2 linked regions of the Canis lupus familiaris genome follow. The protein of the gene in region 2 binds, or shares a complex with, the protein of the main gene of each other region. Links are inferred from orthologs where the notes say so. Each region holds a gene or a part of one and is shown on either strand. Other genes may lie near its edges. The genes, in order: ASB9 and creatine kinase B-type.

Region 1 (3,802 bases), on a different chromosome or scaffold from region 2:
TTGTGTCCGAGTTAAGAATATCGGGAAAGCTGTGACTTTATGAAAAAGAATTACCCCAGGGCCGCCTGGATGGCTCAGCGGTTGAGCGTCTGCCTTTGGCTCAGGGCGTGATCCTGGGGTCCTGGGATCGAGTCCCACATCGGGCTCCCTGCGTGGAGCCTGCTGCTCCCTCTGCTTGTGTCTCTGCCTCTCTCTCTCTCATTCTCTCTCATAAATAAATAAAATCTTAAAAAAAAAGAATTACCCCAAGCTGAGTAAGTGCTGGGGATCTCATGTCCAACATTATGCAATAATACCAATACTGTATACTTGAAATTTGCTAAGAGGATACATCTTAAGTGTTCTCCCCACACGTAAAAATGGTAACTGTGTTTTCGTTAATTTCATTGTGGCAACTGCTTCATAATGTGGGTGTCTATCAAGTCATCATGTTAGTACACCCGAAAGAAATACAACTTTGTCAGGTATACCTCGATAGAGTCAGGCGTGGAGAATTACCCCCAGCCGTATATGGCACCTTATTTTCCAAAAATCCAAAGTGTGTTTCACTTAAAAAACCTAGGTGGCCCCGAGACAATATTCTTTAAGGCCCGAAAACAGAAGAGTAGAGGGTGTTTTACAAAATAATTGGATTTATACGGGGTCATGGGTTCAACAGTATATTCCACAAATATGCATGGATAGTTCTACTATGTGCCAGACCCCGTTCCAGAACTACAGCAGTGAACAACTTTCCAGATGCTCCGAAAGGGTGGTTCCCAAACTTTCTGTGCATCGGAATCACCTAGATGCTTGCTAAACAAAACACGCATGGCCGGGCCCCACCCCGGAGTTGCTGATTCTGTGTGTCTGGCGTGGGGGCCAAGAGTCTGCAATTGCACGCCAGGCCAGGCGGATGCTTCCGGTCCCAGGACCTCACACTGAGAAAAGGTCCCTCAAAACCACCCCTCCGCTTGCTTCGTCCTTGCAACAGTAAGATGTCTGCGGAAGGAGAGGCGGAAAACGTAAATTCTCCATAGATTTACCTCTCTTAGCAGCTTCGTGGATGGGCGATGCCAGGTCACTCACGGCGTGGGGGCTGGCCCCATGCTGCAGAAGCAAATTCACACAGTCCTGGCTGCCGCTGACGCACGCATTGAACAAAGGGGTGTGCCAGTCGGTGGTAACGCCATCCACCTGGAAAGAAGAGCGCCAGGCTGAAGGCAGGTGGTGGGGGCCCAGGGTTCAAATCTAGCCTCCACTCCTGTCAAGCTGTTATTTGACTTCCCTGAGCCTCCCATTCCGCGGCTATAACATGACGACAAAAATAGCAAATTCCAAAAACAACAACAACCAAATTCCACAAGGTTGTGAAAAACCGAATGAGCTGAGGCACCGAACATGTTGCCGAATGTTCTATCACTTCCACGCCCCCAGGAACAGGAATTCTGAAGCCAGTTGGGATGATCCTATATAGCTTACAAACTCCTCTCCTTGTTTTAAATGTTCCACCCTAGACCTGTCCCACACCAGTCCAGTGTCCTTTACAGTAGTGAGAGGAACGTATTATTAACGTTACTTTTTTTTTATTTTAAAACATGACTTTCACAGAAATATAGGGTGAATACGTGCCAAAGATTTCCTTCAATTCGTTCATTAGGGAGAGAACCAGGAAGATGGTAAGGCTGGCTCAAAGGGGAATTTATATAGTCAGTCAATTAATGCTGAAATAAATTTGCTAACAGATACAAGACTGGCTACCGTCCTTCAGGGCCAGAAAACTACAGTCTTTGGGGCCATCTTTCCTAACGTGGGAAACCTGACAGAAACTTGCAGTTCACATCTGACTTCACAGTGTCTGGGCTATAACCAAATAGGGAAGAACAAAGCCAAATGCAACTTTTCTACACTGTTAAGAGAAACTATACTGCAGACGAGAAGAGCCTTCTTACAAACCATTTCCAAGGAAGGCCAGGACTAGTGAGGCACAGAAGATGTCCCGGGTGCAAAGTTTAAGGAGACCCTCCCTTCCAGGCCCACGCAAGTGCTCAACAACCCTGAGAGGCAGTGGCTCTCCAGAGCTGGCATCCTAGGTGCCCTTAGGCCTCCCCTGAGTCCTGGTCCTGTTTCCACACGTGGAGTGGGTTTTCTCAAACCCTATATAAACCCGATGATGCACTCACCGATGGCTCTCTACTACTGCTCTCAGGACAAAGCCCATTTTCCTGGCAAGGACAACAAGGCTGTTTGTGTGCTGGCCCCTCTTACCCACTCTGCTGCCATAAGGAGCGATTTGAAATTTATTTTTTTTAAATTGCTCAGTTTCACTTCCAGGCCTTTACAACAGCCCTTCCCAGTGGGCGGGAAGCACACAACTTGCCCCAACCCACCAGTCAACTGGCTGATTCCAATAGATCCTTTGAGTTTCAACTTAGACATCATTCCTCCTAGGAAGCCTCTTCAGACTTCCTCTCCCCCATCACAGCACTCACTCTTGCCACACGGTGGTGGTTTGCAAAAATGGCCACACATTCTCCGCACTGTCTGCATATCCCTTTGCCATGTAGCAATGCAATTCCTGCCATCAAGAGATGGAGACTACTTTTCTAATCCTTGAACCTGGGCTCACCCATGGGACTTGCTTTGCCCAGTGGGACGATGGCAAATGAGAGCTTGCCTTCTTTTTGATGCTCTAGGCATCCCTGCTACCATGGGAACCAGGCCAGGCTGCCTGTGAAAGGATGAGAGACCACACAGAGATTTTGTCACCCCAGCCATCCCAGCCAAGGTCATTGCGAAGCGGCCCTCCCCAGCCAACCTGTCAGCTAACCTTCAAGGCCTAAGTAAGCCCGGCTGAGGTCAGCCGAACCAGGCCAGGTCAGACCTATCTGGCTGGCACAGGAACTGTGAGATAAGTAAATGGCTGTTGTCTTAAGTCATTCAGTTGTGGTGGCTTGTTACACAGCCAAATAGAACAGGAAGAAACAATGTTTGGTAACTGCCCGCTGTGGCAGAGATGTGCATCCGACAAAGCTACTTCCGCTCGCTCTCCGGGGCACACAGCCAGACTACACTCCCCAGCTTCCCAGGCCATGAGACAAGTTCTGGCCCATGGGATGTGGGGCCAAAAGTGACATACGTCACGGCCAAGATAGGCCCTTAAAAGTCCTCTGTGCACAACCCTCCACATCTTTTCTCCTTCCAAACTCCTGGAGTGGAGGTGACTACTAGTAGCATATGTGGAAGTCACTTGTTGAAGATGGTGGGGTGACAGGATGAAAGGAACCTGTGTGCCTGAATCACCCCCAGGAAAGAGCCACCCAACCAGGAACACCCCCACTGGAGTTTCAGTTCAGTAAGAAATATGCTTGTGTTGTACCAGGCCACCAAGATTTCAGGTTTTATCTATTAATGTGACGAGTGTGATATTTGTTAATTCGCCTATTTATCTGGCTGGGTCCTCATCTAATTTATAAGTTCCTAAGGATCTTCATCCAGGGTTAGGCATGTAACAAATGCTCAGGAAATACAGGTTGAGAGAACATGAGAAACCCACATATGTAATTTTCTAATCAGACTTGTCTGTCACTTTTGACCTTGAGGGGACGTAGTGAATGGAAGACTTACTGGTCCCCACTTTCCGGTAGGGACCTACTGAGATCCTAGGGAAGGGATCTCATTATGCCATCCTGATTCTCATTCTCTAAGTAAAAATCAAATACCTCACTTCCCTCAATCCTCACAAAACCACAGCAAGCTTACACAGCTTCACTGTCATTTTCCCCCTCTTCTCAGATACGGACTCAAAAGCTCAGAGCCTCGG
Region 2 (4,281 bases):
GTATCTCATGAATAAATAAACAAAATCTTAACAAAAAAATAGCTGTGTAATACTCCCACGCTGGGTACATGCCTTCCTAGCCCTGGTCAGTCCCCAGGTGATGGGCATCGAGTTCTATCCAAGTTCATTCGTGCCTTTGCTTTTCCCACTGCACATTTCTATCTGCAAAGAGGAATGAGACTGTCCTTTGTGCAGGCTGGATTCCTAGAAATAGGATTGCTGGGTCATGGAGTACAAACATTTTTAATTCTAATAGATACTGCCAGATTACTTTCCAAAAAGGACGTGGCAGTTTACAGTTGCAGGGAGTGTGTGAATGCCGTCTCCACATTCCAACCCATAGCCAGCACTGGCTGGTGTCAGTCTTTCACAGTCTTGCCATCTGGGTGTGCTTGGGGCGAGGGGAGGAAGGTACAGTCCTTGTTGTTTTAATTTGGAGGATTCTGATTTTCAGTGAGATATTTTCCTTTGTTTCTAAATCTCACATATGCTTGTTGTTTGTTAGTGTTTCCTCCCATCTTTGCCGAGTCTCTGGGGACCGCCTTTGGGGGTGGGGTGATGAGATGAACTTGTCCCCCGTCCAGGGCTGGGGTCTGGAGACTCTGAGACTGTGCACTCCCCAGCGGCCTACCAGGGCCACAGTGTTCTCTCCTCTACCAGGAAAGGCTGGCCCCGGGGGTCTCTGGCTGGGGTTCCCGAGAACTGGGGGACTTGCCCAAGGTCAAGGCACCGCGGGCGCCGCCCCGCTGGGCCCCAGCCAGACTGCGCCTCCCGCGTGCCTTCACTCTGCACCAAGATCGCCCGGGAGATGCCTGCGGGCACCTTGAGGAAGGTCGGCGGCTCCGGTGCAGCTCCGACCCGGCGGGGGTAGGGTGGGGGAGGAGCGAGTACCTGCGGCGAGAGCCCGGGACGCTCACGCCTGGACCCTCGTCGCGACCACCGTGGGGGCTGGCGGGACCAGGGAAGGCCAGAGCCCGGATGCAGAGGAGCCCGAGCGTCTTCAAGCGCCCAGTGGCTCTCCTGCCTCAGTTTCCCGCCCGGACGCAGCGTGGGAGGGAATTTCCAGGACGTCCAAGGGCCTGAGGTTTCGGCAGCGGGGTCCTGGGCAGGCGCCGGACGGGGAAGGCGGGCTGCGCGGGGTCCCGGCGAGGGGACAGCAGAGGTGGGCGGCCTTGGGGGGTTGTTGGGGGCCGCGGGTGGCGGACAAAGCGGCGGCACCACCCCGCAGCGCGGGCCAATGGAATGAATGGGATATAAATAGCGGCCAATGGGCGGCTCGCGTCGCGCCCCTTAAGAGCCGCGGGAGCGCGGAGCCGCCGCTGTTCGCCTGCGCCGCGCCCGGAGCTGCCGACGGACCGACTGCCCCTTCCCCGCCCGGCCACCCGGTGAGTGGTGCCACCCGAGGCCGCCTGTGCTCGGGGGCGGGGGCGCTGCTCAGGGAAGGGCCTTGTAGGCCGCGGAGTCCTGCACGCCACGGTTCGCCGCCTGGAGCGCGCGCTGGCTGGGCCTGGGGTTGGGGTCCTGGGCGGAGCGCGAGCGCCCCGCGCGCACTGCGGCCCCTGCTGACCTTGGCCGCGTCCCAGGGTGACCAGGAGCCCGGGCGGCGAGGCCCTGGGTGGCCCGCAGGTCCCGGGGGGCCCGACGCGCCGGGTCCTGGCTGACCCCCCAGTCTCCCCGCAGCCTGCCGCCCGCCGCCGCCGCCGCCGCCATGCCCTTCTCCAACAGCCACAACACATTGAAGCTCCGTTTCCCGGCCGAGGATGAGTTCCCCGACCTCAGCGCCCACAACAACCACATGGCCAAGGTGCTGACCCCCGAGCTCTACGCGGAGCTGCGCGCCAAGAGCACGCCGAGCGGCTTCACGCTGGACGACGTCATCCAGACCGGCGTGGACAACCCGGGTACGCGCGCCCGGGGCCCGGGGTCTGGGTGCGGCCCCCTGATCCGTAAGACAGCCTTTGGGGTTAGGATCCAGAGCTAACCCCAGAACCCCTCTCAGGCCAGGGTTTCGGCGCCCCCTTCCCGCGCGGAGCTGCGGGGTCCTGAGGGCCTCGCTTAGGCCTGGCAAGTGACATCACTGTCCCCATTCCGTGTTCCCCCAGGCCACCCCTACATCATGACCGTGGGCTGCGTGGCAGGCGACGAAGAGTCCTATGACGTGTTCAAGGAGCTCTTTGACCCCATCATCGAGGACCGGCACGGCGGCTACAAGCCCAGCGACGAGCACAAGACCGACCTCAACCCCGACAACCTGCAGGTGCGGAGCGGCCCCGGGTAGCGGGGCGGGCTGGGTAGGGGTCTCCCGGCGCTCACCTCCGCTCCCGCCCCCAGGGCGGCGACGACCTGGACCCCAACTATGTGCTGAGCTCGCGGGTGCGCACGGGTCGCAGCATCCGCGGCTTCTGCCTCCCCCCGCACTGCAGCCGCGGGGAGCGCCGTGCCATCGAGAAGCTCGCCGTGGAAGGTAGGGGTCGGGCCGGCCGGTTGCCCCCCACCCCCCATCCGGCTTGTTTATCAGTCACCGCAGTCACCCGAGCCTCCGCTGCCACGCTCTTATCTGCGCGCCGGGTCCGGTTTCCCGGGGGGACGGAGGCCCAGCCCCGTGTCTGTGGCGGCCTGGGCCGGGTTCCCACAGAGCCGGGGGGCCCTGGGGGCAGGGGCTCGAGTGTGCCCTCCTGAGCGTGCCCCTCTGCAGCTCTGTCGAGCCTGGACGGCGACCTGGCCGGCCGGTACTACGCGCTCAAGAGCATGACCGAGGCGGAGCAGCAGCAGCTCATCGACGACCACTTCCTCTTCGATAAGCCCGTGTCGCCCCTGCTCCTGGCCTCGGGCATGGCCCGCGACTGGCCGGACGCCCGCGGCATCTGGTGTGTGCCCCCTTCCCCGCCCGCGGGTCCCCTTCCCTCCTCCCTTTGGCCCTCCCCCACGCCGCCGCCAAGGAGGAAGAGGGAGGGGCCGCGCTCCTGGGACAGGTTGGTGCCTCCAGGGCCTCCTCGTAGGTGACCTTGACCGCGCAGGTACGTGAAGGGACTCCAACTAGTGGAGGCCGAGGCCTCGCGGGATCTTAGAAGTGGGCGGCGGGTGGCGTCGGCTTCTCTCCTCCACTCTCCTCTTGGGAGCTGGAGCTTGTTTTGCGTCTCCTTTCTCATCCCCTTCCCCGCGGGGACTGCCAGGTGCTGGGTGACGCAGATGCTTCCTAGTGGGGGTTGGGGGCGGCGGGAGGCTTACAGCCTCCTGCCTCCAGGGTCTGCGAAGGGCGGCTTCAGCCGCCAGATGACGCGTCTCCCTGCCCCTTACCTCCTCACTGGAGCCGCCGCCCCCTCCCCCACACCTGGGTCACACCGCAAATGACTGGCAGGCTGGGGCACAGCTCAGGTCCTGGCCTCCCTGCATACCTCCAAAGTGTGGATGGCTCTGGGGTCCTGGCAGCAGCCCAAGTATCTGGGTACAGCTGGACTGAGCACCTCAGGGAGTTGGAGAGTTCCTGGGGTCTCAGGCCCCCCTAGAGCTTTTTTCTGGATGTATCCTGAGACCATAGTCCTAGGAGGCGGCCTGACTGTGCCCCTCCCCCAGGCACAATGACAATAAGACCTTCCTGGTGTGGATCAACGAGGAAGACCACCTGCGGGTCATCTCCATGCAGAAAGGGGGCAACATGAAGGAGGTGTTCACTCGGTTCTGCAACGGCCTCACCCAGGTCAGGCCTGACTGCCCCAAGCTGGGCTGGCACAAGTGGGCTTTGGTGCCAGGGAGGGGGCAGGGCAAGCTCCAGAGCTCCAGAGCTCAGGCAGGGATGTGGGTGTCCCCACCAATTTCCCTGGCTCCAAGGGTCCCAGCTGGTCCCCCCAGCGGGCCTCTCAACCAGGTCTCTCCTCTCTTGTCAACCTCCAGATTGAAACACTTTTCAAGTCAAAGAATTACGAATTCATGTGGAACCCTCACCTGGGCTACATCCTCACCTGCCCATCCAACCTGGGCACAGGCCTGCGGGCAGGTGTGCACATCAAGCTGCCCCACCTGGGCAAGCACGAGAAGTTCCCGGAGGTGCTCAAGCGGCTGCGGCTTCAGAAACGAGGCACAGGTGAGTGGGACGGGCTGTAGGCAGTCTTCTGTCCGGAGCAGGCCCCCACCCGCCTTGCTGACCTGGTTGTCTCCCCAGGTGGTGTGGACACAGCTGCGGTGGGTGGCGTCTTTGATGTCTCCAACGCAGACCGCCTGGGCTTCTCAGAGGTGGAGCTGGTACAGATGGTGGTGGATGGTGTGAAGCTGCTCATCGAGATG

What was found.
Region 1: the proteins of creatine kinase B-type (region 2) and ASB9 are in contact, whole or in part, in a cryo-EM structure (PDB 6V9H), measured with the Homo sapiens proteins. The link is inferred for Canis lupus familiaris from reciprocal best matches to the Homo sapiens genes CKB and ASB9. Residues at the interface, in NP_001814.2 of Homo sapiens: Asn63, Pro64, Gly65, His66, Pro67, Tyr68, Ile69, Thr71, Arg130, Arg132, His191, Val198, Ser199, Pro200, Leu201, Leu202, Leu226, Trp228, Glu232, Ile238, Met240, Asn286, Arg292, Gly303, Lys304, His305, Glu306, Lys319, Arg320, Gly321; in NP_001026909.1 of Homo sapiens: Leu25, Asn27, Pro28, Leu29, Met30, Gly31, Asp32, Ala33, Val34, Ser35, Asp36, Trp37, Pro39, Glu42, Ile45, His46, Trp60, Ala67, Asp68, His69, Glu75, Ala100, Asp101, Trp102, Val111, Asp133, Leu134, Ser165, His166.

What each region holds. Positions count from the first base shown.
Region 1 is NC_049260.1:11,557,264-11,561,065, forward strand, and holds part of ASB9 (ankyrin repeat and SOCS box protein 9), read right to left. Parts: intron 1,177-3,802; coding exon 1,026-1,176; intron 1-1,025. UniProt on the Homo sapiens protein: Substrate-recognition component of a cullin-5-RING E3 ubiquitin-protein ligase complex (ECS complex, also named CRL5 complex), which mediates the ubiquitination and subsequent proteasomal degradation of target proteins.
Region 2 is NC_049229.1:71,688,255-71,692,535, reverse strand, and holds the start of creatine kinase B-type, read left to right. Parts: upstream 1-1,224; 5' UTR 1,225-1,385; intron 1,386-1,680; 5' UTR 1,681-1,708; coding exon 1,709-1,901; intron 1,902-2,102; coding exon 2,103-2,257; intron 2,258-2,331; coding exon 2,332-2,464; intron 2,465-2,695; coding exon 2,696-2,867; intron 2,868-3,573; coding exon 3,574-3,697; intron 3,698-3,891; coding exon 3,892-4,081; intron 4,082-4,159; coding exon 4,160-4,281. UniProt on the Homo sapiens protein: Reversibly catalyzes the transfer of phosphate between ATP and various phosphogens (e.g. creatine phosphate).